Linked DNA regions of Notamacropus eugenii. The protein of the gene in region 1 purifies or fractionates together with the protein of each later gene. This does not show direct contact. Links are inferred from orthologs where the notes say so. Each region holds a gene or a part of one and is shown in the gene's direction. Other genes may lie near its edges.

Evidence for each region.
Region 2: the proteins of VSX1 (region 1) and USP12 purify together in Homo sapiens (affinity purification with mass spectrometry; 3 studies listed by BioGRID and IntAct, counting the BioPlex papers as one, with this or other methods). This does not show direct contact. The link is inferred for Notamacropus eugenii from reciprocal best matches to the Homo sapiens genes VSX1 and USP12.
Region 3: the proteins of VSX1 (region 1) and WDR20 purify together in Homo sapiens (affinity purification with mass spectrometry; 3 studies listed by BioGRID and IntAct, with this or other methods). This does not show direct contact. The link is inferred for Notamacropus eugenii from reciprocal best matches to the Homo sapiens genes VSX1 and WDR20.

The regions. Positions count from the first base shown.
Region 1 is NC_092872.1:602,072,965-602,080,691, reverse strand, and holds the start of VSX1 (visual system homeobox 1), read left to right. Parts: upstream 1-4,157; 5' UTR 4,158-4,569; coding exon 4,570-5,017; intron 5,018-7,727. UniProt on the Homo sapiens protein: Binds to the 37-bp core of the locus control region (LCR) of the red/green visual pigment gene cluster. May regulate the activity of the LCR and the cone opsin genes at earlier stages of development. Dispensable in early retinal development.
Region 2 is NC_092876.1:195,091,932-195,099,822, reverse strand, and holds the start of USP12 (ubiquitin carboxyl-terminal hydrolase 12), read left to right. Parts: upstream 1-4,511; 5' UTR 4,512-4,897; coding exon 4,898-4,945; intron 4,946-7,891. UniProt on the Homo sapiens protein: Deubiquitinating enzyme that plays various roles in the regulation of the immune response and inflammation.
Region 3 is NC_092872.1:351,725,611-351,734,039, reverse strand, and holds the start of WDR20 (WD repeat-containing protein 20), read left to right. Parts: upstream 1-4,852; 5' UTR 4,853-4,929; coding exon 4,930-5,178; intron 5,179-8,429. UniProt on the Homo sapiens protein: Regulator of deubiquitinating complexes. Activates deubiquitinating activity of complexes containing USP12. Anchors at the base of the ubiquitin-contacting loop of USP12 and remotely modulates the catalytic center of the enzyme.

The DNA.
Region 1 (7,727 bases):
CCCTCCACATATATCATCACCTGCATACCCACAATGACAAGTAGCTAGAAAGTTATGTGGGATTCCTTAAGTTATACCCTTATTTTTTAAAGAAGTCATTGTTTCAGAAACAGAAAGATTTGGAGGGACAGTAGTGAAATGTATTTGATCCACAGTTATTTGAAAGATGGTTCGATTTGTTCTATTTGGCCTCTTGGGCAGAAGCAGGAACAGCGAGCAAAAAGAAAAATTTGGGTTTGATGGAAGGAAAAATTCTTAACCATTAAAACTCTTCTCCAGTAGAATGAGGTACCTTGAAAAATAGTAGATACTGCTTCACTGACATTCTTCAGGCCCTGAAAATCCGATGATGCTCTGATGAGTGGAGTTTTGTTCCCATATAGGTTTAGGAGACTTCCCACTGGGAGTCCCAACAGCTATGATTCTGTATATGATTGAAGGCCCAGTGAGTGCGGTGCATTTAGCGACTGAGGGACCCAGAAGGTGTAAGGAACCATGGGATTTGATTTAGGACATCTGTGGATCCTATGGAGCCTGCTGCTCTGGAGTAGATGGCCAGCCTAGAATGTTGGCTTTCAGCAACACTCACCGGGAAGGTTCATTCTCTTCCCGGAGGTCTGCTCCGGGGGTGGGCCTGGACTAAGAAATTAGAGCGAAAAGTGATTTTTAAAATGCCATATTCTTTAGGGGATTAATAATCGTTGGCGTTGGAGAATGGGGTTGAAAATCTTCCCGGGAAAATAATGAGCGGAGAAACATTTACTGATTAGTTTAATCCCATATAATCCTATCTGATGAGCATAGATCAAGATATCCCTTAACAGATTTATTCCAAAATAAAATAAAACAAAATCAAATAAAAAGTGTACAAGCACTCTCAGAGTGTGGAGGTGCATGTGTTGTGTTTCGAACGAAGGAGTGATCCTAGTTTCTGAAGAAGGCATCAACTAGCCCCCACCCTGTCTTCCCTCTGCTCGGGGTGCCCAGCGCGGATCCCCAATCCGCGCACGTGGCCAGGAAGTAGCCCAGGCAACTATTTAGAATACAGGGGGATTTAAACTCTTATTCCTATTCCCCTGTAGCAGGCTTTCTCCCCGTTTTCGGCTTTTATGTTTCCCTAAACTGATTACGAGCAATTATAAACGCTTTATCCCAAACTTTCCAAATGACTCCACCATATGCATAGTTAAAAGCTTCATCATCCTTGGCGGCAGCTGAGCCTCCGCGTAAACTGCTAAAATTAAGCTGATTCTGGGCGATGTCAAAAAATTAGGGTTTTAGCCACTAACATCGGCCGAATGGGAAATTTGTTGGGGGCTGGTGGCCGGATTAGCACTTCCAATTTCTGTGAGAGATTTGCTCTTAGTTTAACAGTGAAAGTCTCCTCGGGCGGTCCTCTCACTGGGACTGGACTCCAGCGCAACTTGAAAAGTGAATGTGGTCGGCTTTCTCTGCCGGGCTATCAGGGAGCCCGCTGGGAGAAGCGCTACCTCGTCAGGGGTGGGGAGCGTGGGTGAGAAAAGATAGGAAAAGATGGTATGAATACAGAATCCTCATTCATTCTCTCTGAGTGTCTGGGTCCCTTTCTCTGTGTCTGTCTCTCTCTTTCCCTCCTCCCCTCAGGGAGTGGCTGGGATGAGCTGCATCTGTGATAACCGACGTAAAACAAAAGCACAGACAATGAGAACTCGAAGGGACCACAGAAAGCACCTAATCCATCGTCCTCATTTTAGGCTCGGAGGAACTGAAGCCCAGGAAAGGGACGTGACTAGCTTAAAGTCAACAACGAATTGGCTAGCGATTCGACTCCAAGTCCAGGGAATGGGACCCATACTTCTGGACATCTGCAGTCTCTGTCTGTTCTCTTTGATGATTTAGATGCCCTAAAGGAAGGAAAACCAAATCTTTATGTCCCCACCTACGAGTCTTGAGATGCCCCAACCCACGTTGCCCGGGCAGTGAGTTTTGTTTCCGCAGGTAATATTTCTGGGGCATTTCTTGAAGTCCATATCTAAACCATCCTAAACCTGATGAGGTTTACCCTTCACCCAGAACTGGCACGGGAGCATGCACACTCTCCTGCTTAAACTGAAGCGCCCTGTCACATAGCTCATCGGACGAGTCGTGGTTTTAAATAATGATTTGGTCATAGTTTATCTGCTGCTGAAAGTGACCCAAAATTTGGGTGGGAAAAATCATATAATTAGGTTCCTGACATTCCTCTAAGAGCTGATTGCAGGGACCTGACTGCATCTCTTACACCTGAATACAGCAAAGTAAAGCTTCTCAAAAGAAATTCCTGCCTCCCTTTCCGGCCAAACGTAATCGTCAAAAGCCAATCCTAAACCCAAGCAATTCAAATTACAATTATCCCAAATGAAAGTTATTGTTTTTCTAATCCCAGGAACAGCTTGCGAAGGGAGATTTGGGTCTTTCTTTAATAATGTAAAGTTAATACGTAGTCCTCTTGTAATTATCTTTATCAGAAGGCCCTTGTTTAATCTGCATGTTTAGCAGAAAAGTACCAAAAAAAAAAAAGGGAGGTGGGGGAAAGAGAGATCTACTTTAAAGCAGTCGATGTAAGCTGTTTGTAAATCGTTTGCATAAACAGATGAAGCAGGGAATTTCAATCCAGGTGCAAGAGCTGGGATCTGATGGACTGAATAAGACTGGAGTCCCTTTTGGACATGGATAAGGTTACACCACACATTCTCTCCTCTCTTCTTTTGTTGCAGAGCTGAGGGTGGGTGCAACTACTAGGTGCCTCCTGTTAGGGAGATGGGATGGTGGGGAGAGTGGGTAGGTCAGTGAGAGGAAAGCTAAGAAGTCAACAGAGGAAAGAAACTTGAACTTGTCCACATTTTCTTACATAAAATTCCATTTCATTATATTCTGTTCAGTTCTTTGGAGGGAAGGCTTCGAGGGTTTGGGAAAGAGAGATACAAAATAGAGCTGTGGGAAAGAAGGAAGGGAGGGAGGAAAGAAGGAAGGGGGGGAGAGAGATCTTTATGTGAAAAATGGCAAGTTAAGCAGTATGGTTGAGGAGAGGAGAAGACTGTGAAGGTTTGAAGGAAAAGATTGTAAAGAGGTCTAAATTCTCAATTGGCATTTGTTTTTATTCCAGTCAAAAGATAATAAGGAGCCACTGGAGTTTATTGAGTAAAGGGATGATGACATGGTCAGAACTAAGCTTTAGGAAAACATTTTGGCAGCTGTTTGGAGAGGTTGTATTAGACTGGGGAGAGATTTGCCAAGACCAATTAGGCTATGGCAAATACTGGAGGACAGAATGATTAGGCTTATTTGAAAATCATGTTTTCCTATGAAGTGGCACGTGTGCAGATAACGTGTAGGAATTTTTAAAAAAAGTTTGAAGTTTTCGAATTTTTCTCTCTCCAAAATCCTCTATCCATGGGAGTTTTCGAAAGGCCCATGAAAATGCAGGCACTAATGGAGAGCGTCCCTCTCGAAAAAAGAACCAAAAGAAGGCGAGATGTTGGGTTTTCAACCCAGAGAGCCTGAGGGTGTTAGGAGCTGGGATGCGGGGAACTCTCAGGTTCCCCATCCCTCAGTTTAACCCCATTGTACCCTGTTTCCCTTTTCGTTAGCTTCTGGGGTCTAGGGAAGAATTGACTGAGAAGGACCCAGCTAACTGAAGTAAGAAAAAAAAAAAATCTCAGCCTTGAGCCTTGGGGACAAGGGAGAGTTGTGCAAACCAGCAAGACCCAGTTTCGCTTGGGGAGCGAGAGAGCTAAATGAGAGAAACCCACCCACCACCTCCTTCCCTTCGGGGAGACAGACAGATGAACATCTCGGCGGAAACACCTAGGGATATTTTGGGGGATTTTTTAGGGGGGGCGGAGAGAGAGCTAGTGAGCCTCGTAAATCTGGCGTTAACGGTTTTCGATCAGAATAGCCTGACCAAAGACTTGGCACTGAAGCCTTGTAAACTCGAGGTGAAGTCTCAGAAGAGAACGCAAGGTGTATTGGTCCCAGGGAGAGGAGGGGGTGGACATTCAACTGTTTGTAGAGCTGAGGTTTACTCTTTCGAAGAGGTAAAATGAAGTGAAACTCCACCCCACCCCCACTTCCCACCCCCAAGCCTGCAGTGTTTGTAGGAGGAGGGGCGGGCTTGGCCCGGACAGATTGAAGGGACCAGAAAGGAGATGACAGCTGGGCAGGGGGACGTGTAAGGGGAAGGAGGAGGAAAGTAAGGAAAAAGTGACCCTGGGAAAGGGGGATGGGACTTCCGAAGGGGAGGTAGTAGCTGGGAGCTGAGGGGGGAAGCAGCTGGGAGTTGAGCTAGAGAAGGGAAGGTGTATTATCAGATTGTGGGGAAATTGGGAGTAATTAATCTTCTGGAATTGAAAGCACGGGACGACCCTAAAGCGACAGGACCCTTCCCCGACCTGATTGGAGGCCAAGCTCCTTCCCCACCCCCTGCCCTGCTTCACTGGCCCCAGGACGCAGATAAAAAGCTCTGGACCGACTTCGCTCTTCTTCCATCTGTATTCGGGATCCTGCAGAAGCTACCCCAAACAGACAAGCCAGGGAGGGAAGGGCGAAGCCATGACCGGCCGAGATGCGAGCTCAGATGGCAAAACCAAGGGCAAGGCGCTGGTGCCCATTGGCCCGGGACATGAGAAGGCTTCTCTCAGTTTACGATCCAAAGGCTTTGCCATCAATGACTTGCTGGGCTTGGAGGCAGAGTTGCAACCTCCCAGTGGTCCTGGGGCTGGCTCAGGATGCCAGGTCCCCTCTGGTACTGGGCTGGGGCCAGGTCCTGGGACTGGAGCTGGAGTTGGGGGGACCTCTCTACCCGGGGGCTCCTTGCCCTTAGGTCTGGGCTTCTTCTGTGGCTTCGCAGCGCAGCAGCCCCCGGCTGGTGGGACCCCCTGTTTGCTGCTCACGGACATCCCCTTCCTGCAGCCCCGGGGACCGGACCCCCATCACCAGCGTCACGAGCATCACCAGCGATACCTGCTGGGCTCTGAAAAGCCCAAGGAAAGCGTTTCGGGTAACTTGTGCATGCCTCCCGCGGGACCATTCGTTCACTCTAGACTTCTCTCAGCCTAGGGCTTAAAGGGTTAAAAAAAAAAAAAAACCAACCCTTTTCCACAACTTTTACTATTGCCCCTCACCCCTTTCACTTCCCTCACTTTGAGACAAAAGATACATCTTCCTGAGTTTCAGTTTTTGGCAAATTTCTCTGTTTCTCTTCTCTCCAGATCCAGAGAAAGGGTAGAGTATTCAGGAGGAGAGGGCAAATGGCCAGTTCTATCTAGGGGCGGTGTTGCAATGCCTGGAACTCTGGATTTGTATTCAGAGGACCTGAGTGCAAATTCTGACTCCACTCTTTATGTGACCTTGGACATGGCACTTAATCTCGTTTTGTTTTGTTTTTTAATCTGAAACAGATGCTTAGATCATTTAATATTTCTCACAAACCTAAACCAAAGAGACCCACTTAGTGCTATTTAAATCCTGCAACCTTTTCTCTCTCCTTTCTTAGGTTCTGCTATTCTCCCTCATGATCTTGCCACATAAATTCTTTTCTCTAACCTCTGCCTAGAGGCTAACCTCTTCTGGGGCTGGAGCCGCTCCCCGAGGTGAAAATGTATTTTTGAACTTTTCCTCTCTGCTCCCCTAGAGTCTGAGGTCAAGATCCTGCAGAGATGCAAATTTTAGCTGTTTCTCATTTTAGCTTCAGTCTCCTGGTACAGAAATCCTCAATCTAGGCCAGCCCTGGGCTTTGGTGTTTTTTTTTTCTGAACAAGACTGTGTGTCTCCCAAGTAGGGTCATGAGACCTGAGGAAACTGATGTTAGTCAGGGTTAGGGAAATGAGTGGGCTTGTGGGCTGGGCTCTTTGAGACTATCATAGTCAGAAGATCTTCTCCCTCTGCCCTCTTTTGGCAGTCCTCTGCTGGCAAGCACTCTCTCTTCTGAAAGTCCTGACTTTTCAGTCAGGAAGAGGAAGCAGCCCTGGCATTCCTTGTACTCTTGCTATTAATACAGCTACTTGCTTAATTACACTGGTACTTCTGACAAATCCCTGGTTTCATTGAGTGTTGCTTCTTTCCCTTACATGTGGCAGTTCCGCCATACCTCATTCCTTCATCTTTTGAGTTCATTCTTCTAGTCTATGATAGCTTCGTAATCATGAAGACCCAAGTTCAAATTCTGCCGCGGCACATATTATTAGCCACTTGAATTTGGACAAGTCATCCATGTAACTTCTCCATGCCTAAGGCAGCTCTGTGACTACATAGACAGTTCCTGATTTGTATTAGTGGGGGGAGTTTTTACATTGATGAATTCCTATATCCCAAGGGAGATTAAAAAAAATAACCACCACCACTGTGATAGGATTTTGTCTTTACTTAGTCATGACTTTCCTTTCTTTTGGTGTCTTATTTACATCTATTTCATCCATTGCTGTCCTTGGACTCCCTTAACATTCACTATTTGACTAGTGCTTTTAGGAGAGTCTAAAAGTTCCATTTAGGGGATCTCATAATCTCCCCAGGAAAGACACTCAGTAGATTGCTCCCTTTGTAGATCTTTCTATATATAAGGTTTATCTGATAAGATGTCAGCTATTTCAGTGATTTTACTGTTTTCTCACTTAGAAAATAGTAGAAACCTGGAATGAAAAGTTCATGCCTAGATGGGTATAGGATGGGGAGGAGCAAGCTTTTTCTTCATAGGATTTAGGAGCAGAAAGGAATATCTAGTCTGGAGCTTTCATTTTATAGTTGAGAAAATTAAAGCCTAGAGAAGGAAGATAACTTGCAAATAAGGAGCAGAACAAGGATTTGAGCACAGGTTCTCTGATTCCCTTGATGAAGCAAAGACTGGGCAGCCACTTGGGTACGAGGGGTTCTTATTCAAGTAAAAGTTGCTCTCAATGACCTCTGAGGTCCTGTCCACCTCTGAGATACTGAAATTCTGTGACTGCATCTCAGGTTCTTTCACTAAACCATATCAAGTCTTCCGATTCCAAATCCAACGTTCTTTCCATTATGCCGTGCTGCCTGACTCCCTCTGCTTTCTTCCATCGCTCATCTTTAAGTTGATAGCCAGACAAAGCTGGTGGTAGGTCAGCTAGGTGGCACGGTGGATAAAGCTGAAGACCTGAGTTCAAATTCAGCCTTGGACATTACTTGTTGTGTGACTCTGGACAAGTCACCTTACTGTTGTCTGCCTCAGAGTTTTCTTTTTTTTTAATCTGAAAAATGAGAATAATAGCATCTACTCACTTGTGTTTGCAGATGTGATAATAAGCTTAGCTCAAATGAGATAATATTTATAAAGTGCATTGCAAACCTTAAAGAAACATATAAATGTTAGTTATTCTGGTCATTATTCAATCATGCCCTTGGGTGGAATAGTACAGAAGAGTTTTTTTTTTTTCAACAATCAGTGTTGCCTTTTCAGGATTGTGGGCAATTCATACTAGAGACATACATGGACACAGATGAGAGCTGGAAAGAGAAGATCAGGGCCAAAAAGAGCAATGTGCCCCAGCGATGGGGACTCTGAGGTGGGCTCAGTAAAGTGATTACGGTCCTGCCATTCAGCACTGGTCAGTGGAGAGATACCAGGTGTGAAGTGTGGGGGACTGAGGTCTCCAGAGGAAGTAACTCCTTTCATCTTCTTGCCTTGGGGCCAGTCACAAGTGGACCAACTCTAGTTATTGTTCATGATTGAGCAGGTTGGATTTTCT
Region 2 (7,891 bases), on another chromosome or scaffold:
TTTCTTATATGCCCCTTATATACATATATACTTTGTTATTTGTATGATTTTGTTTAGAAAAAAACATTTGTACTAGAATAGGAGAACACACATGTACATTTTTATGCATATATTTCTTTCTACTCTGGTTTTGTTAAAAAAAAACCTCAGGGATTATTGTTCATCATTGATCTTAAATTAATACAGATCATTTATTCTTCACTTGCTCTCATTTTTGGCAAAAATTAAGAGCTCACAGATAAAGCACACTTCTGAGAAAATTTCCAATCCTGATCTGGGTCGAGAGGAACATAAGAATATTTCTTCATGGAACCAGGCTCCAGGACTGCTATAAAGTTACATTTTTAGTTTGTACCTTATATGCTCATATGATATAGATTCTGGAAACAAGGTAAGAAGACAGGACCCATAAGGAAGTAGGACCTATAATGTACATAAGGAAGGTCTAAAGTCCCACCCTTAGGTTATTGCTTTTTTTTTTTTTAAAGCTGAATGCCAGAAGTTAGGTCAACTGTGGGTCAGAACCACAGATACACCAGGTTTGTGGAATATAACCCCAACCGGAAGTGTCCCAGACCTAAATAAGTAGCTGTGTCCCTCCTACTTCTAACTCTCCTACTTCTCTATTGAAAAAACAGATGATATGCTTCAGAACTTTTCCCCATCTTTCCTCATTCTATCCTCTTTTGTTCTAGTCTCAGAGGAAAAGGTCATTCTACTCTTAGCTCAGTCTGACCCCTCAACTTGGGCCCTTCATCCTTTTCCCTTCTGTTCTCCAGAAATTTGCCTGTGATTGATTTTCAATGAAAAGCAAGCAGAGATTTTTGTTGACATCTGGTAATATTCCAACTATTATGTATCACTACATTCCTCTTTTGGGCAACAGGAGCAATCCCTCCCGCTTCCCCCTTCAAACTTCTACCTGGCAGGGACTGTTTTTAGTTTTTTGGTTTGTAACAATGTATCTCTGGCTTCTACTGTTTTAAGGGCAGGTCTGTTACCTTGCCCCATCTCCATAACCCAAGGTTCTCTGAAGGGGTGAGATTAGACTCATCTCGGCATTGGCTAGGGCTTCCATCGATTGTGTTTCCCAATTTTAGGGGCAAATGACTTGTACCCAGTTCCATTGAGCCACTTAGTTTAGCTTTTACAAAGGAAAATTTACTTCAAAGGTATGAGAAAACATAAGTACATTTTCCCTAGCACCTGAGAGCCTAATCCCTCTTACACCATCTCAGTCTCTAGGAAGTCTCAGTCCTTACCTAACATTAATCCCACCAAATTCAAGTCTGTCCTGAACCATTGGTGCACTGGCTGCAACATCTGGCCAGGTGTGCTGGGCTCCAAAATCCCTGTAGCTCAATTTTCTGAGTCTGGAACTCCACTTCCTGCACTCAGCAGTGAAAGGGACAAATGAAACAGACCAAAACTCCAAGCCCATTTCTTGGGGCTTTATGGCCAATGGAGGAGAGGGAGGCATACCTCAGGCGTGCCTCCCATCTCTCCCCCTCCCGCTTCCTCACTTCGTAGTGTCATGTGCTGCGAATGAATGAATACACCCATAGATGCAAATGCTAGAAAAGGACAACTGTCCTTAGTGACACGGATAATTCTGACTATATAGCTAATAAAAAAGGCTACTCCCAACTACACGGTAGGCCAATTCAGAATGTTTAGGCACACACTAGTTCTGTCTCTCAGAAGCAAGTCCCAAGAATTTCCCACATACGTGACACAATTTTCATTGGTCTGGGCATGTGCCAAACCTCCATTACACTTGTGTTCCCAGCGCTTAGCACACAACCTGGCACATAGTAATCAAAACCTAATAAATGTCTTTTCCTTGACTGATTTTGTGAGACCTCTATCCTGATTGTCTTCTACCTACCTTACTGCTCTTTCTCAGTCTCTCCTCCTGGATCATCATTTATGTCCTGTAACCTAACTGTGGTTCATTTACAAGATTCTTTCCTGGGCATTCTTCTCTAGCTACATTCTTTCTGTTGGTGACATTTTGGGTACAGTTCCAAATTGCTTGTGAATAGTTGGATCATTTCAGAGCTCTACCAACAGTGCATTAGTCTGCTTATCTTCCCACATCTCCTCCAAAAATGGTCATTTTTCTATTTTTTTTTGTCATCTTTGCTAATCTGATGGTAGAATCTTAGAGTTGCTTTAATGTGTATTTCTTCTTTTGAAAACTGTCTATGCATAGCCTTTGATCATTTGCCTACTGGGAAATGGTTCTTGTTCCTGTATGTTTGTATCAATTTCCTGCATATTTTGGTATCAGACCTTTAGCAGAGAAATTAGCTTCAAGGATTTTTTTGTGGCTAACTGTTTACCTTCTAATTTTAATTGCATTCATTTTGTTTGTGAAAATCTTTTTAATTTTATAGCTACTTTTCCATGTCTTTTCCCCATTAAAATGTTATTAAAATCTTTTGATTTTATATCATCTGCATTTTCCAATATATACTTCTATCTCTCCTTCCAAGAAAATTATCCATTATAACAAAGAATAAAAAAGAGAAAAACAGTTCAGTAAAACAAATCAGTATATTAATCAAGTCTGATACCATATTCAGCGTTTCACCCATAATATTCCACTTTTGCAATGAACGAAAGGAGATCTAGGCTTATTTCTTCATTCCCTTTCATTCACTCTATGTTCTATCAGTACCTGACATTCAGTGCACTTGCATTGCATCTTCTGCCCTGCAGCTATGTGATGTATTTCCTCACTTCTGTCTCTTAGATTTCCTGGGTTCTCTCCAGACTCAACTCATGAGCCACTACAGAAAGCCTCTCCTGTCTTGATTGTCGCTGATTTCTCCTTCCTCAAATGTTCTTGTAAATGTGTGTTGAGAGTAGAGAATATGAAATATGAGTTAAGGTTGGAAAAGGAGGATGGAGCTAGATAGTAGAAGGTTTTGAAGGTTAAGGCCAAAGAACTTTTATTTTATTCAATAGGCATTGAAGGAATCACTGAATAGGAGGATAATGTGATCCAGGCTGTATATTAGAAAGACTAACCTGGTAATAGTGTATAGATGGTTTAAGGGAAGACACTAGAGAAAGGAAGCCAGGTTAGGTTATAAATCAAATCAATAACTATTTATGGATTTCCTACTATTTACAATTCACACTATGGACAATTTTTTTTCTAATGGAATTCATCTACTATGTTATAATGGAAGTCAATACGGAAATTGATTTCTTAGCAAACTTTAAATATCTTCAGCCCGTTATTTTAGGGATAATTGTTCAGTTGAATGTAATCTCAGGCACTGAGAACCAGGCAGAATCTTGCCTTGCCTCCCACCCTCAATAACTTCTGTAAGCAAGTATTTAAAAATAAAAGACTTTTTTTTTTTTTTTTTTAAAGAAACAGGAATTTGCTGGATAATTTTAAGAAATTAAACTTAATTTCCTGGAACAAGAAGAATTAATGATGAACTGCCTGAAATGAATGACAGATTTTCAAATGATGCACTTTAAAAATAGAAAGAAGGAAACAGTTCCACTAGTTTACACTTTGATGTACTTCTCACAGAACTTGTCTATTTTTTTCTCCCACTTGCCAGTCTTATCAACTTCCTTTTGTCTCTCTGGGTAATATTATCCTTGTTGGGTCTCTTCCTATTCTTCCCTTTGCAGTTCTTGTTGTCTGGAAAAATATATTTAGAGAGTATATTTATAAGCATCATCAAAATTCATACTCAACAGGCAGGCTGTCTTTTGCAGATTCCTTACCCTTCCTCTTACATCACCGAGCTAAATATAACATGTATATGTCGAATCTTTACTTTTCTGTCTTTCTTTGGTAGGGTACTTTGGGGAAATCATTTGCCCTTTCTGGGCCTCAGTTTCCCCACCTGTAAAATGTGGGGATTGGGCTTTGAGATGTTGGAAGATGCCATCTAACTTTAATACTGTGTTCCCATGACGCGTTTGACACAAGTGCGCCGTTTTCAGAGAAAGATTAGACTTTGCAAATGAGTGGGTCTCACCGGGTCACAGCTGCGGAGGCGGGCTTTTCCCATTCCCTGCCCAAGAACCGAAGCCTTGGGCACGGATGTGTTGGGAGCGGAGACGCATCATTCCACCTAGAGGTCTGAACTGCCCGAATAAATCAGGTAAAGACCCAACTTCCGAGCCCCCTCTTCCGCGCTGTCCGGGCCAGCTCGGCTGCTCTGGCTTCCTGGCTCAGATCATCCATTCCCGAAGGGAAAGGAGGGCGGAAGAATGGTGGAAGAGCACTAGGACCCGGAGGGAAGTGCCGGCGGCGCCTCCCCGCCCCCTCAGGCCCTACCCCGCTACACGTTGGGGGCGGGGTTCTCATGGCTGGGGAAGGAGAAGGAGGAGGAGAGGGCGGCGCCTCGTGCGCGTGCGGCCGCTCGGGCTCGGCGGGCTGGCGGCTGGGGGCGGAGCTTGCTGGCCTCTAGCAGCGGGGCGGAGGCGGAGGCAGAGGGGGTGCTGGCCGCTCAGGTTGTCGGTCCCCGGGGTGCGGCGAGTGGGTGGTGCCGGAGTTGCCCGGACAGGCCGGGCATTAGGGCCCCGGCGGAGCTTGCTCCCCAGGCCGCGCTGGGCGGGGTGCTAGGCGGGCTGGAGCGGCCTCCGGAGGCAGCGGCTGCGCCCTGAGCCGGGGAGGAGCCGCAGCCGGAGCCGGGGGCGGGGGCCTTGGCCAGGGTGCCGGAGCGCCGGGCTCAGACGGTTGTTGGGGTCGGTCTGTGGGTCGCTCGGCCGGTCCTTTGGTCGGCCAGCCGGGCTGGGGCTGTCGGGCCGCCGGTACTGAGGGCGGCGGCCCCGCTGCCCTGCTCCTCCTCCCCCGCGCCCGGTGCTCGGAGCCCGGCGCCGCCGCCGCTGTGATTGGGTGGAAGATGGCGCTGGGCGGATGGAAATCCTAATGACAGTCTCCAAATTTGCTTCCATCTGTACCATGGTAGGTGGGAGCTGCGTCGGGAGCGGGTGTCCCGGGGGAGCCCCTGACCTTCCCCCGCCCGCGGCCGCCCCGGACACGGCGGGGCCTAGGGCGGCCCCGGGCCGGAATGAGACGGGCGGCTGGGGCCGGGCTGCGAGAGGAGGAGGAGGAGGAGGAGGAGGGTGAGGGCGGGTTACGGGCTCCTCGGAGCCCAGGCTGCCGTTAGGGGAGGCACCGGCGGGCGGGGAGGGCTTGGACACTGGGGCGGCGGGAGCCATTAGAGGCCTCGCTGGACCGGCCGGTGTGTGCGTGTGTGCGTGTGCGCCCGGGAGTGTATAAGGTAGTGGAGTAGCCCTTCTCCGCGAGTGAGTGCGTGCGTGCGTGCGTGTGTGTGCGGTATCGGAGGCTCTCCCTTTACCATGTGAGTGTGAGAAGAATTAGAGGTTCTCCCGAACACCTACTCCCCCCCTCGGGTGTGTATGTGTGTATGTTTATGTGTCTGAGTTAAATCGGAGGCCTTCCCCCTTAGCGAGTGTGTGAGTTTGGAGACGTGTGTGTTTGTAAGCTGTTAGAGGTTTTACCTCCGGCGTGCATGCGTGTGTGTGTGTGGGGGGGGGGGGCGAGTGCACTTTTATTCCCTCCGCTGGTGGGAATGAGCGATTGAGGAGGTTCCACTCTAATGCGTGTGCTTGCGTGCGTGTGTGTGTGTGTGAGTTAATTGGAAGTCTTCGTGCGAGTGTGAGAGTTTGGAGGGGCGTGAGTGCGTTATCGGAGGTCTGTTCTGCGTGCGTGTGTGAGAGTTCGGCGGCGATTGGAGGCTTTCCCCTCGGCGTGCGTGAGAGCAATTGAGGAGATCCCTCATCAGTGTGTACGCGCATGAGTGAGAGAGAGAGAGTGTGTGTGTGTGTGTGTGTGTGTGTTTGTGTGTTTGTGCGGGCGCTCAAGGTATTGGAGCCTTTCTCCTTTTCCTGTGTGTGCATGAGACTGGAGGCTCCCCTCTCAGTGTGTGTTATTTTTAAGGCTTGTGCGTGTGAGGATTGAGACCGTGGAGGCTTCCCCCTTAGCTTGTGTGAGTTACTGGAGGGTCTTCCCTCTGTAATGTAAGGCATGCCTGCAAGTTTCCCCTTCCGTGTGTGTGTGCGCGTGTATGTATGTGTGTAGATACTACAAGTCTCTCAATGCGAGGGATGGAATTAAGAAGTTCTTCTTGGATTCTGAGGTTGATAGAGAAATTTTGCCTATTGTGAAGACAGTCTACGTAGGTAGATTTTGTCACTGTAGAAGGGTCCACTAAATATGTTGATAGGAAATCTGTTGCTCTCTGTGGAGAAGATGTATAGGATTGGGTAGATTTTTTTTTTTTTTTGCTTCATGCCTCTTGAAGGACCCTCCAACCTGTCACTGTTGTGGGTTGAAAAGATGTGCTGGTTTGTTTAAATATGTTGCTGAACATTTTTTCCTTCTTTTCTATTTTTAATTTGCTGAAGAATTCTTGCGATGAACTGTCTTTCCCCTTTTCCAAACAAAAGGAGACAACGACTGTGTTTAGGTGGTAGCTTGGTCTCTCAGAATGTTGTTACTTTTAAAAACTCCACCAGTAATCTTTTAACTTATTAACTGGAATATACCAAATCCATCTGTATTTATTTAGTTTAAAGTATCTTTGTCAGACTGAGGGGGACGTGATATTTGTGTGATAACCTTAAAAAAAAAAACTTCATTCTTCACAACAGAAATGTGCCAGTGTCTGTTCAAAACCTTGATTTAAACATTTTACTTTTGAGTCAACATTTATTAAGTGCCTCCTGTGTGCCAGGACTAGGATAGGCCATAGGGATACAAAGACAAAAACAAACAAAACAACCTATGTCCTCAGGGAGCTTACTTTCTATGGGGAATTAACATCTACATGTATGAGCAAATATAGCATATTTATAGAATAATTTGGAGGTGGTTGGTTTTTGGGGCTGGGGGAGATCATGAAAGGCCTTACATATAAAGGAAGCACTTAAGCTGTGCTTCGAAGAACACTAGGAATTTTAAGCATATGTAAAAGGGCATGGAGACTGGAGATGTTATGCTTTTTATGGAGAAATAAAAGTAAACCATTTTGGTGAGTACCTAAAGGAAAGGAATGTATAGTTAGTCTGGAGAGGTAGGTTGGAATTAGGTTGTGAAGAACTTCAAAAACCTGAGAAATTCCTGTTTGTTCCTAAATGCCTCCACAGCTTCTTAGGCTGGGGAATGATGGTCAGACCATTGCTTAAGGAACGTGAGTTTGGTAGTTGTTTGGAGGATGGAGAGAAGAGGGTAGGGAATAGATGCAGGGAAACTAATTAAGATGGTTGTTAGTCCTGGGGAAAGGTCATAAAAGCCTGAGCCTTGTGGTAGTTGTGTGAGTAGAGAGAAGGAAATTGTTCCACAATATCTTGTGGAGGTAGAAAGATTTTTCAACCAATTGGACATGAGTGGTACTGAAGAATTGTTGAATGTGATAGAGATAACAAGCCTGAGTGACTAGAAGAATTGTAGTCTGTTCAACAGAATTTGGAAATTGGAAAAAGGAGTGGGTTTTAGGGAAAGATGAGTTCTATTTTGGATATATTGATTTTGTGATATCAATGGAAATATATAGTAGCTGACATAAATTGAGCTGACATACTAGGGCTGGATATGTAGAATTGGAAATAATCAGCGTAAGCTTTAAAGATCTTTTTTTGGTGCATGTCTAAAAGGATAACAGTAGGTAGCATCATAATGGGAATAGTTACGGTTCTAGATTATATTGGTGGGAAAAAGTTACTCTTTGAAAGATAGATGGATCCAATTTAGGGTCATAGGTTTTGGAATTTTTTTATTCCTTTCCCCTCAGAAGTTGTGGTGGTTTCTTTTTATTTTTATGGTATCTTTAAGGAATGAAAGATCAGAGCATGGTAAACATTTAAACCAGAGAGCATTCCAATACTG
Region 3 (8,429 bases), about 250 Mb from region 1:
TAGAAATCAGATCACTTACCTTAGAATAATTTGCTCACAAAATCATGGAGAGAAGGCATTCATAGCATAACACTACCTTTGTACTGCAACTATGAACTGATATTCCATTTTTATTACAATTGTCATCATATTCATCTTGTTAAATTATAAGCCTCATGAGGGCAAAGGTCATTTATTTTTTACTTTTATATTTTCCCTGTAACTATAACTATGCTCTCCGTACGTAGGTAAGCTCTTCAAGGTCCACTGAATCTAATCACATAAGGCTGATTTTTTTTTTCCCAGGGGAATTCTACCTGAATTCATTTCCAATTGGCTTCACTGTGGAAATTTACTAATTCCAAAGCACAGCTGCAAAGAAATGCAGATATGAATTTATATATTAATGATTTCAAAAATCTTGACGTGATTTCATCAGCATAGGGAACTCTGGGAACAAACACCTTCTATAGGCAAACAACATGATATTGATTATACATGGGAAATTATGGAAAACATATTTCCATATTAGCCATGTTGCCAAAGAGAACACAGAAAAAAGCCAAGAAAAATAAATAGTATAAAAAAAGTATGTTTCATTCTGTATTCAGAGTTCGATCGTTCTCTCTTTGGAGGTTAATAATATTTTTCATTTTAGATTCTCTGGAATTGTCTTGATCGAAGTAGCTAAGTATTTTATAGTTCATCATGCTTACAACATTGCTATTACTGTGTATAATGTTCTCCTGGTTCTGCTCACTTCGCTTCAAACTAGCTTTTCAAAATAAATATTTTCCAACAACTATCTGCATTTTCTTCCATCCTGCACTATTTGAATCTTTCATAATTGCTCAGTAACAAAATCTAAGAAAACTAGCTAAAATAAAATGTTAGTAACACTACAAAATTTTCAAAAATTTAAATGACTAAAGGACTGTATCTGCAAATGCTAAAATGACTACTTATAATCAATCTTACTTATAAATAAAATAAGTACATAGCATTCTCTCTTGGGGAAAAAAAACCTATTCAACTGAAACTGCTCCATCTAAAGTTACCAGTGGTTTCTTAATTGACAAATCAGATGGCCTTTTCTTAACTGTCACCCTTCTGGATCTGTCTGTTACAAGTGACAATGCTGAGTATTTCCTACTCATACATACTTTTTCTTTTTTTGTGACACTACTCTCTTGGTTTTCCTCTTATCTGACTATTACTTTTCATTCTTTGCTGGATCATCATTCCCTCTGCCCTTAACTCTGGATATATTCCAAGACTAGTTCATTTCTCAATGTATAATCTCCGAGAACTTATCATCTCCCATTGGTTCAACTGTTATGGCACACAGATGATTTCTAGATACAGACTTGCACCATCAATAGGTTTTTTGCATATTTTTTCAAATGGCTTCTCAAATTCAATATATTCAAAATAGATGTCATTATCTCCTCCCTGCACCAAACCCACTCTTTCAGACTTCTCTATTTCTGCTGAATGTACCACCATACTTTCAGTCACAAGTATTTGCAACCTCTGAGTCATCTCTCCCTCCTCACTTTTCCTTGCCCCACATATCCAATGAGTGGCCAAGTCTTGTCAACCCTATCTCTACATCTTCCATTCATCTCCATCTTTCCACTCTTCAACCAGCCTAGTTCAGAGCCTCATCACCTCTCACTTAAGACTACTCCATTTTAAATTGGTCCCCTTGCTCCTTCACACAAGTACTAATGTGACATTACTGAAGTAAAGCATGACTATGGTACTTTCTTGCTTGATAAACTCCAGTGGCTTCCTACTGTCCCTAGGATAAAAAATAAATTGCTCTGTCTGGTGTTTAAAACACTTCACGACCTGCCTCCAATCTACCTTTCCAGCCTTATTATACATTAATATGTATATGAAGGGGAGCTCTGTATGCTCTATAATCCAGCCAAATTGGCTTTGCTTTGAGCTCTTTTGCCCAAATATAGCATTCCATCTTCTGACTGTACTTTTGCATAGGCTGTTCCACACTTGCATTCCTGAAATGCACTCCCTGTTTACCTCTTCCTCTTCGAATAGATCAGCTCAAATACCACCATAAGAGGCCTTTCCTAGTTCCCATGGTCACTGGTGGTTTTTCTTCACAATTGCCTGGTATTTATTTTCTACGTGTTATATGTATACCTCATCTCCCTTTTGAGAATGTAAGCTCCTAAAGAATAAGGACTGTTTTATGTCTTTGTATCCCCAGTATCTACCTCAGTCCCGGCAGAGTAGGCATTTAATAAATGCTTACTGATTGATTAGAGATGCTTGGCAGCTTATAGGCTTAGTTACCTGGGGTACTGAAAAGTTGAGTCTAAGTTACCAAGCATTTATTTAAAACCTACTACATGCCAAGTACTGTGGGAAGTGCTAGAAATTTGAATAAAGGCAAAAGACAGTCCCTGCTCTTAAGGAGCTCACAATCCAATGGGGGAGATATCATGGAAACATGTAGTAACTTGTCTAGGGTCACAAAGTCAACCTATATCAAAGCTGAACCCAGATCTTTAGGACTCCAAGGCCTGCTTTCTATTCACCCTTTGGTGTCTCTATAATAGAAATCACTTTTTACATTTTATTGACATTAGTGGTTATAGTTACATACATTCCTCTACAAATAAAAGTATCTCTCCTTACTAATGCTGAAGAACTATTAGACAACCCAAAGGTTTATTTAGAGGTTTATTTAATGCAAATGAATACTTATTAACCCAGGATAAAAATAAAGCCTTCAGGAATTGAGCATCCAGTTAATTTTTTTTTTATCTTACTCTAATGTGTTAATAAGTTAAATCAATTTTCAGGTAGAAGGCAAAACTGTCAACTGAATGATTCTCAACCAAATCCTTCAAAGGCAGTTCAACCAATGAAATTGGGAGGCAAGCTGAGTATGTTTCCCCTTAGATTCTTTGCTCTTGCTAGGTGACCTATCCGCATCCTTTTACGGCTATACATTTCTCTGATAAAATTTATGCCAGTTCTCAGTAGTAATATGTTACCCTACTTAGGACTACCAAGAGTGTCAACCTTTAGGTGACCTTCAACTTTAATTTTTCAGAATGATATTTCATGCCTCACAGCCAAAATAATATTTATGTTAAAAAGACTGGCTTTTGTTTTGGAGAGTAGTTTGGGGTGATTTAAAGAAAGCACTGAGTAATTTTCCAAATGCCAGCTCGTTCCCTTTAAGTAACTGAAGACAGACACCTATCACGGCCAATAAATTGCCTCCAGTCTACACATTCTTAATTGGTCCACACAATTCTTGACACAATTTTTGTGGTTCCCTTCCCATTTTACTTGGCCATTTCAAGATAAGAGTCACCTTTTCAATGTCTTTTCCTCAAATATAGTTTCCAAACACTTATGATGGTTCACAAACACCATATTCCAAGTATTTGACCAAGAGATGACAAGACAGTCATTTTCCTCTTTTCCAGAGATTCTTACCGTGGAACCCAAACCCATTTTTTCTTTAAAAAAATTGTTTTGATAAGTATATTTCAATACAACTGATTTCCTTTATTATCTTATGTATTTTATTATATGTACTAAAAAAAATTCTGAGGGGTCCATGGGTGTCATCAGGCTGCCCAAGGGGACTTCCCACAAAAACCCCCTGTTCTAGAGGAAGGCTTGAGAAAAGTAGATGGTGCTATGGTTAGAGCCCTGGATCTGGAGTCAGGAAAACCTCAGTGCAAACACTTGAAAGCTGTGTGACCTTAAGCAGGTCACAGTCTCTGTCTGTTTCAGTTTCCCCATCTGTAAAACCGGGATAAGGATGGCATCCACCTCCCAGGGTTGTGAGGACACAGTGAGGTAGTATATGTAAATCACTTGGCAAACCTTAAAGATCGCCATAAATGCCAGCTGTAATGATCAAACACTTCTGCTAATGACATTTAGAGGTTCAATGGCAATCAGCAAGCAACAAGCATTTATTAGGCGCCTTCTGTATGCCAAGCGTACAGAAAAGCAAGAAATAAAGAAGGTAAACAAGATCTGGGCTTCCGTCCCTCTCTGACCCCTACCATGGTGTGAGCCTGGCCAGGCCCTGTACACTGACAGTGCCACCCACAGGTGACTATTTAGTACGTGACAGAACCGGTGCAGACACGCACACAGGTAAGGGAGTGTCCTCACCAGGAATTCTTTACAGCCATAAAATCAGAGCAATGCCGGTCCAAAGGGGGGAAGGGTTTTAAGGGCTTGGCCCAAGACGTCTCTGAGGTGTCTCCCCGTAGAGAGCGTCTCACCTGACCCAGACTGACCAGGACCGGGTCGTCAAGGTCACCCAGGTGCTACCTAGTCCGGGAGCTGCATCCCGGGGCTCTCGACTCCAAATCCAGGGCGCTGGCCTCTCCAGACGGGGGCCGCCAAGGAGCCCACAAGGGCTCCCGCTCCCCTCCTGGACAGCCGAGGGCTCCGGCGGCCTTCCTCTCTCCTGGCCCCTCACGGCTTCCGTCCTCGCCGGCACGGGACCCCGCCTCCCTTCTCCCCCACCCCCCACCGGCCTGGCTCGCGCTGGGGCGACAGCGGCGGTTCCCACACCCTGGGACGGCCTACGACCGAGGACTCGGCCCCCCTGGGCCCCTCACCTAAGCCGGCGGCGGTCGCAACGGCTCTCGGGGACCCAGACGCGGGGACCGGAGTCCGCGAATGAGCCTCGGACTGCAAGTGGATATCTAGCTGGGCCCGGGAGGTGGTCGCGCCTGCGCAAACACGCTATAAACAAGCCCTCCCTCCTTCCCGTCGCCGCCGCACTCGGTTGGGAGAGACCGGAGTGGAAGGGTGAGAAGGAAGGCGGGGTGAAAGAGGAGGGGGAAGAAGGGGGGGGTGGCCTCTGGGAAAGCTAGGGACGGCGCCTGCGCAGTGGGTGTGATCCGGGCACTTGGGGCAGGATGAACGCTGCTTTCCAAGATGGCGACGGAGGGAGGAGGGAAGGAGATGAACGAGATTAAGACCCAGTTCACCACCCGAGAAGGTCTTTACAAGCTGCTACCGCATTCGGAATACAGTCGGCCCAACCGGGTGCCCTTCAACTCGCAGGGGTCCAACCCCGTGCGCGTCTCCTTCGTCAACCTTAACGACCAGTCTGGCAACGGCGACCGCCTCTGCTTCAATGTGGGCCGGGAGCTCTACTTCTATATCTACAAGGGGGTCCGCAAGGTACCGACCCGGGCGGCGCCAGGGCCCACCGGGGGTGGGGAAAGGGGCAGCGACATCGGCACGGGCGGCAGGGAAGGGGACGGGACCCGGTGACGTGACCCGACCCGGGGAGGAGGCGGCGGCCGCTTCACTTCAGAGTGGGCCGGTAACTCCACTTGAGAGTTCTCACCTCAGCGCTTGCACTGGGGGGAGGGAGGAGATAGAGGGGGGCGTGTAGCGTGGGGGGAGGGTCTGGGGGGCTGACTCGGGGACCAGTCCAGGGAGGCCACCCCCCCACCCCCCACCCCAGGTGTCTGCCTCTCGTCACCCCACCCTCCTCCGCCTTGAGTCTGTCAGGTTGGGTGACAAGCATGGAGCCGGGCCTGAGGGGCGAGGGGGCGGGGGTGGCGACTGCCCCAGCCCGACTGCGAGCTGGGGGGCTCCCCCGTGAGAGGACGGGGACGAGGGGTGGTAATGAGGTGGGACCGGCGCTGGGGAGCTGCAGGCTTGTGCCCGTAGTCCGAAAGGAGCCGCCTGGGCGCGGGTGGGGGATCGCGGGGGGCCGATCCACCTGCTGCCGCACTTCCTAGGAGTCCGTCGGTGGCCCGGCTGTTCACACTTTGTGTCTCCGAGCGCTCAGGGCAGGGCAGCTGTCGCTGTCTCCAGCCATAGAACGCTTGGGAGTGAATCTTTTCCTAGGAAAGATCATGAAAGATTGTCTCTTGTCTGTTTCTAGTATGTGGATAGGCTAAGTTTTAAAGTGAGGGACTGAGGCATCTTACTTTTCCATTATTTTAACGGGTGATATGGGTTCAGCATGAGAGCATTCGAACTAATCTTGTCAGAGAAGACACCTAAATCAGGAAGGTCTAAAAAGCGGCTTCATGTGGTCTCCTTTTCATGACAAGCAACAGTAATTCTTTCGACCGTGCAATCGTCTTCAAGCATGTTCTCCCTTTAAAAAAAAATTTGTTAGAGCCTTCATCTGTGTTATCATATACTTGTTAAGCTTTTGAAATAGAACTTTGAATTTACTATTAGCAGAGAGAAAATAATGGACTCTGTAATCTGTGCAAGATTATGAACAGACAAATATGATTTGCAGAAATGCTAATTTTTATTAGTACCTTAAAATACGCACATAATGAATAAGAAAGAATACAGACTTTCTGCAAATAAATACATTATGTACAAGTACAGTATTTTCATTTCAGTATTGCAGGGTCATGTGGTGGGTATGCTGAGTGTGTTTCTAAAGCAGTTATCTGAAATGTTTTTGCTAGTGTTTCCGATTATGGTCAGAATGTGATGGAAAATATTGAAAAGAAGCCACTTAATTTTTCTTTTCCTTTTAAAGTTGGAAAGTAAGAAAACATAACCTTGGTCCCGTTCCTAGCTTTGTCACTGACTTGTTGGGTGACCTTTGCCAAGTTGGTTCACCTAGAACTCCTCTACTTTAAAAAAAGATTGATTGCTGTGAATATGTTGTAAATAATGAATTAATAAGTGTACACTATTGTGAAGTCTTCAGAGACAATAAATGGAAAACAGTTACAAATATAAAGAATAATGGTCAAACAGGAAACTGCCATCTTGATTTTGATCCTAGAACTTTAAGGGTCAGTTTTCTGGTGCAGTTAGTTTCAAAGTTTTCATTGCTAAAATGTATTTTTTAGACACCGAACACCAAAAAAACAACCTCCAAACCAACCTTAACTTTCACCTAAACTGATAACCAGTTGAACCATCTTGTTACTCTGTTACCTTTTTTACTCTGCAAGTTTTCTTGTTGAAGCTTTCTCATAGGAAACTTGATCTGGGCAGTCTTGGTTTACATCATAAAACAGAGCCCATGCTCAAGAATTATCTTTGCAAAGGAAGTTTTTATTAAGGTAGATAATAACCTTTCTTACAAAATGGTAATACTAAAGTAAAGAGAGATTTGCAAAACTGCTCTGAAAAGTTCTTCTAAATGACTTTAAAAAATAGGAGTTGCGTAGGGTAGTTGGAGGGATTATATACATGTAGAGCTTTATCAGTGGAAGGAAAGAGGGGAGGTGAGAGGGAAAAAGTGAACCTTATTCCCATCACATTTGGCTTAAGGAGAGAATAACACACATACTCAATTTGCTATGAAACTATCTTACACTACAGGAAAGTAGGGTAGAAGGGAGGGTAAATGGGAGGAGAGAGGAATTAGAAGTAAATACTTTTGAGGAGGGATAGGGTCAGAAGAGGAGAATAGAATAAATGGGGGGCAGGAGAGGTTGGAGGGAAATATAATTAGTTTTGCCTAACATAACTTTTATGGAAGTCTTTTGCATAACTGCACATGTATAACATATTGAATTGCTTGCCTTTTCAGTGGGGATAGGTGGGGAGGGAGGAAGGGAGGGAAGTTGGAACTGAAAGTTTTAAGAATGAATGTTGAGAATTGTTTTTGCAGCAACTGAGAAATAAGAAATACAGGTAATGGGGTATAGATATCTATCTTGCCCTATAAGAAAAGAGAGAAGATGGGGAAAAGGGAAAGGAGGGGTGTGATAAAAGGGAGGGCAGATTGGAGGAAGGGGTAATCAGAATGCATGGTGGGTGGGGGAGGGGAGAGATGGGGAGAAAGTTTGGAACTCAAAATCTTGTGGAAATGAATGTTGAAAACTAAAAATAAATAAATTATAATGAAAAAAATAGGAGTTGCATTTACAGAAAACAGAAACAGGTGGTGGCACAGTAAATAGAGTCAGGAAGATCTGAGTTCAAATAAGGCCTCAGACTCTTACTAGCTGTGTGATCTTGGAGAAGTCACTTAACTTCAGCTAGATTTGCCTCAGTTTCCTGAACTGTAAAAATGGGGTTGATGATACCACCTACCTTTCAGAGTTGTGAGAATCTAATGAGATTTTTTAAAAATAAAGAAAGAACTTAGCTCCATGCCTGACACAGTCAGCTCTATGTAAATGCTTATTCCCTTCCCCAAATCCCTCCCTTGTCTACATAATCCTATTTATACCTTGATGCTAATTTGCAATATTTCCTTTTAATATTTAGCTTTCTTTGGATACCTATAATGTGGGACATGTCATCTCTCTTTTATCCATCATAAAATACTTAGATTTCTGTTTTTATCATCTGAATTTGCAGCTTATTTCATGTTTCTAATTATTATTCACATTTAAGTAGTCTTTTTTTTTTTTTGGCAAAGTTTGCAAGGTGCTTTCCTTAGAACAGCCCTGTGAGTTATGAAGTATAAATATCTCTATTTTACAGATGGG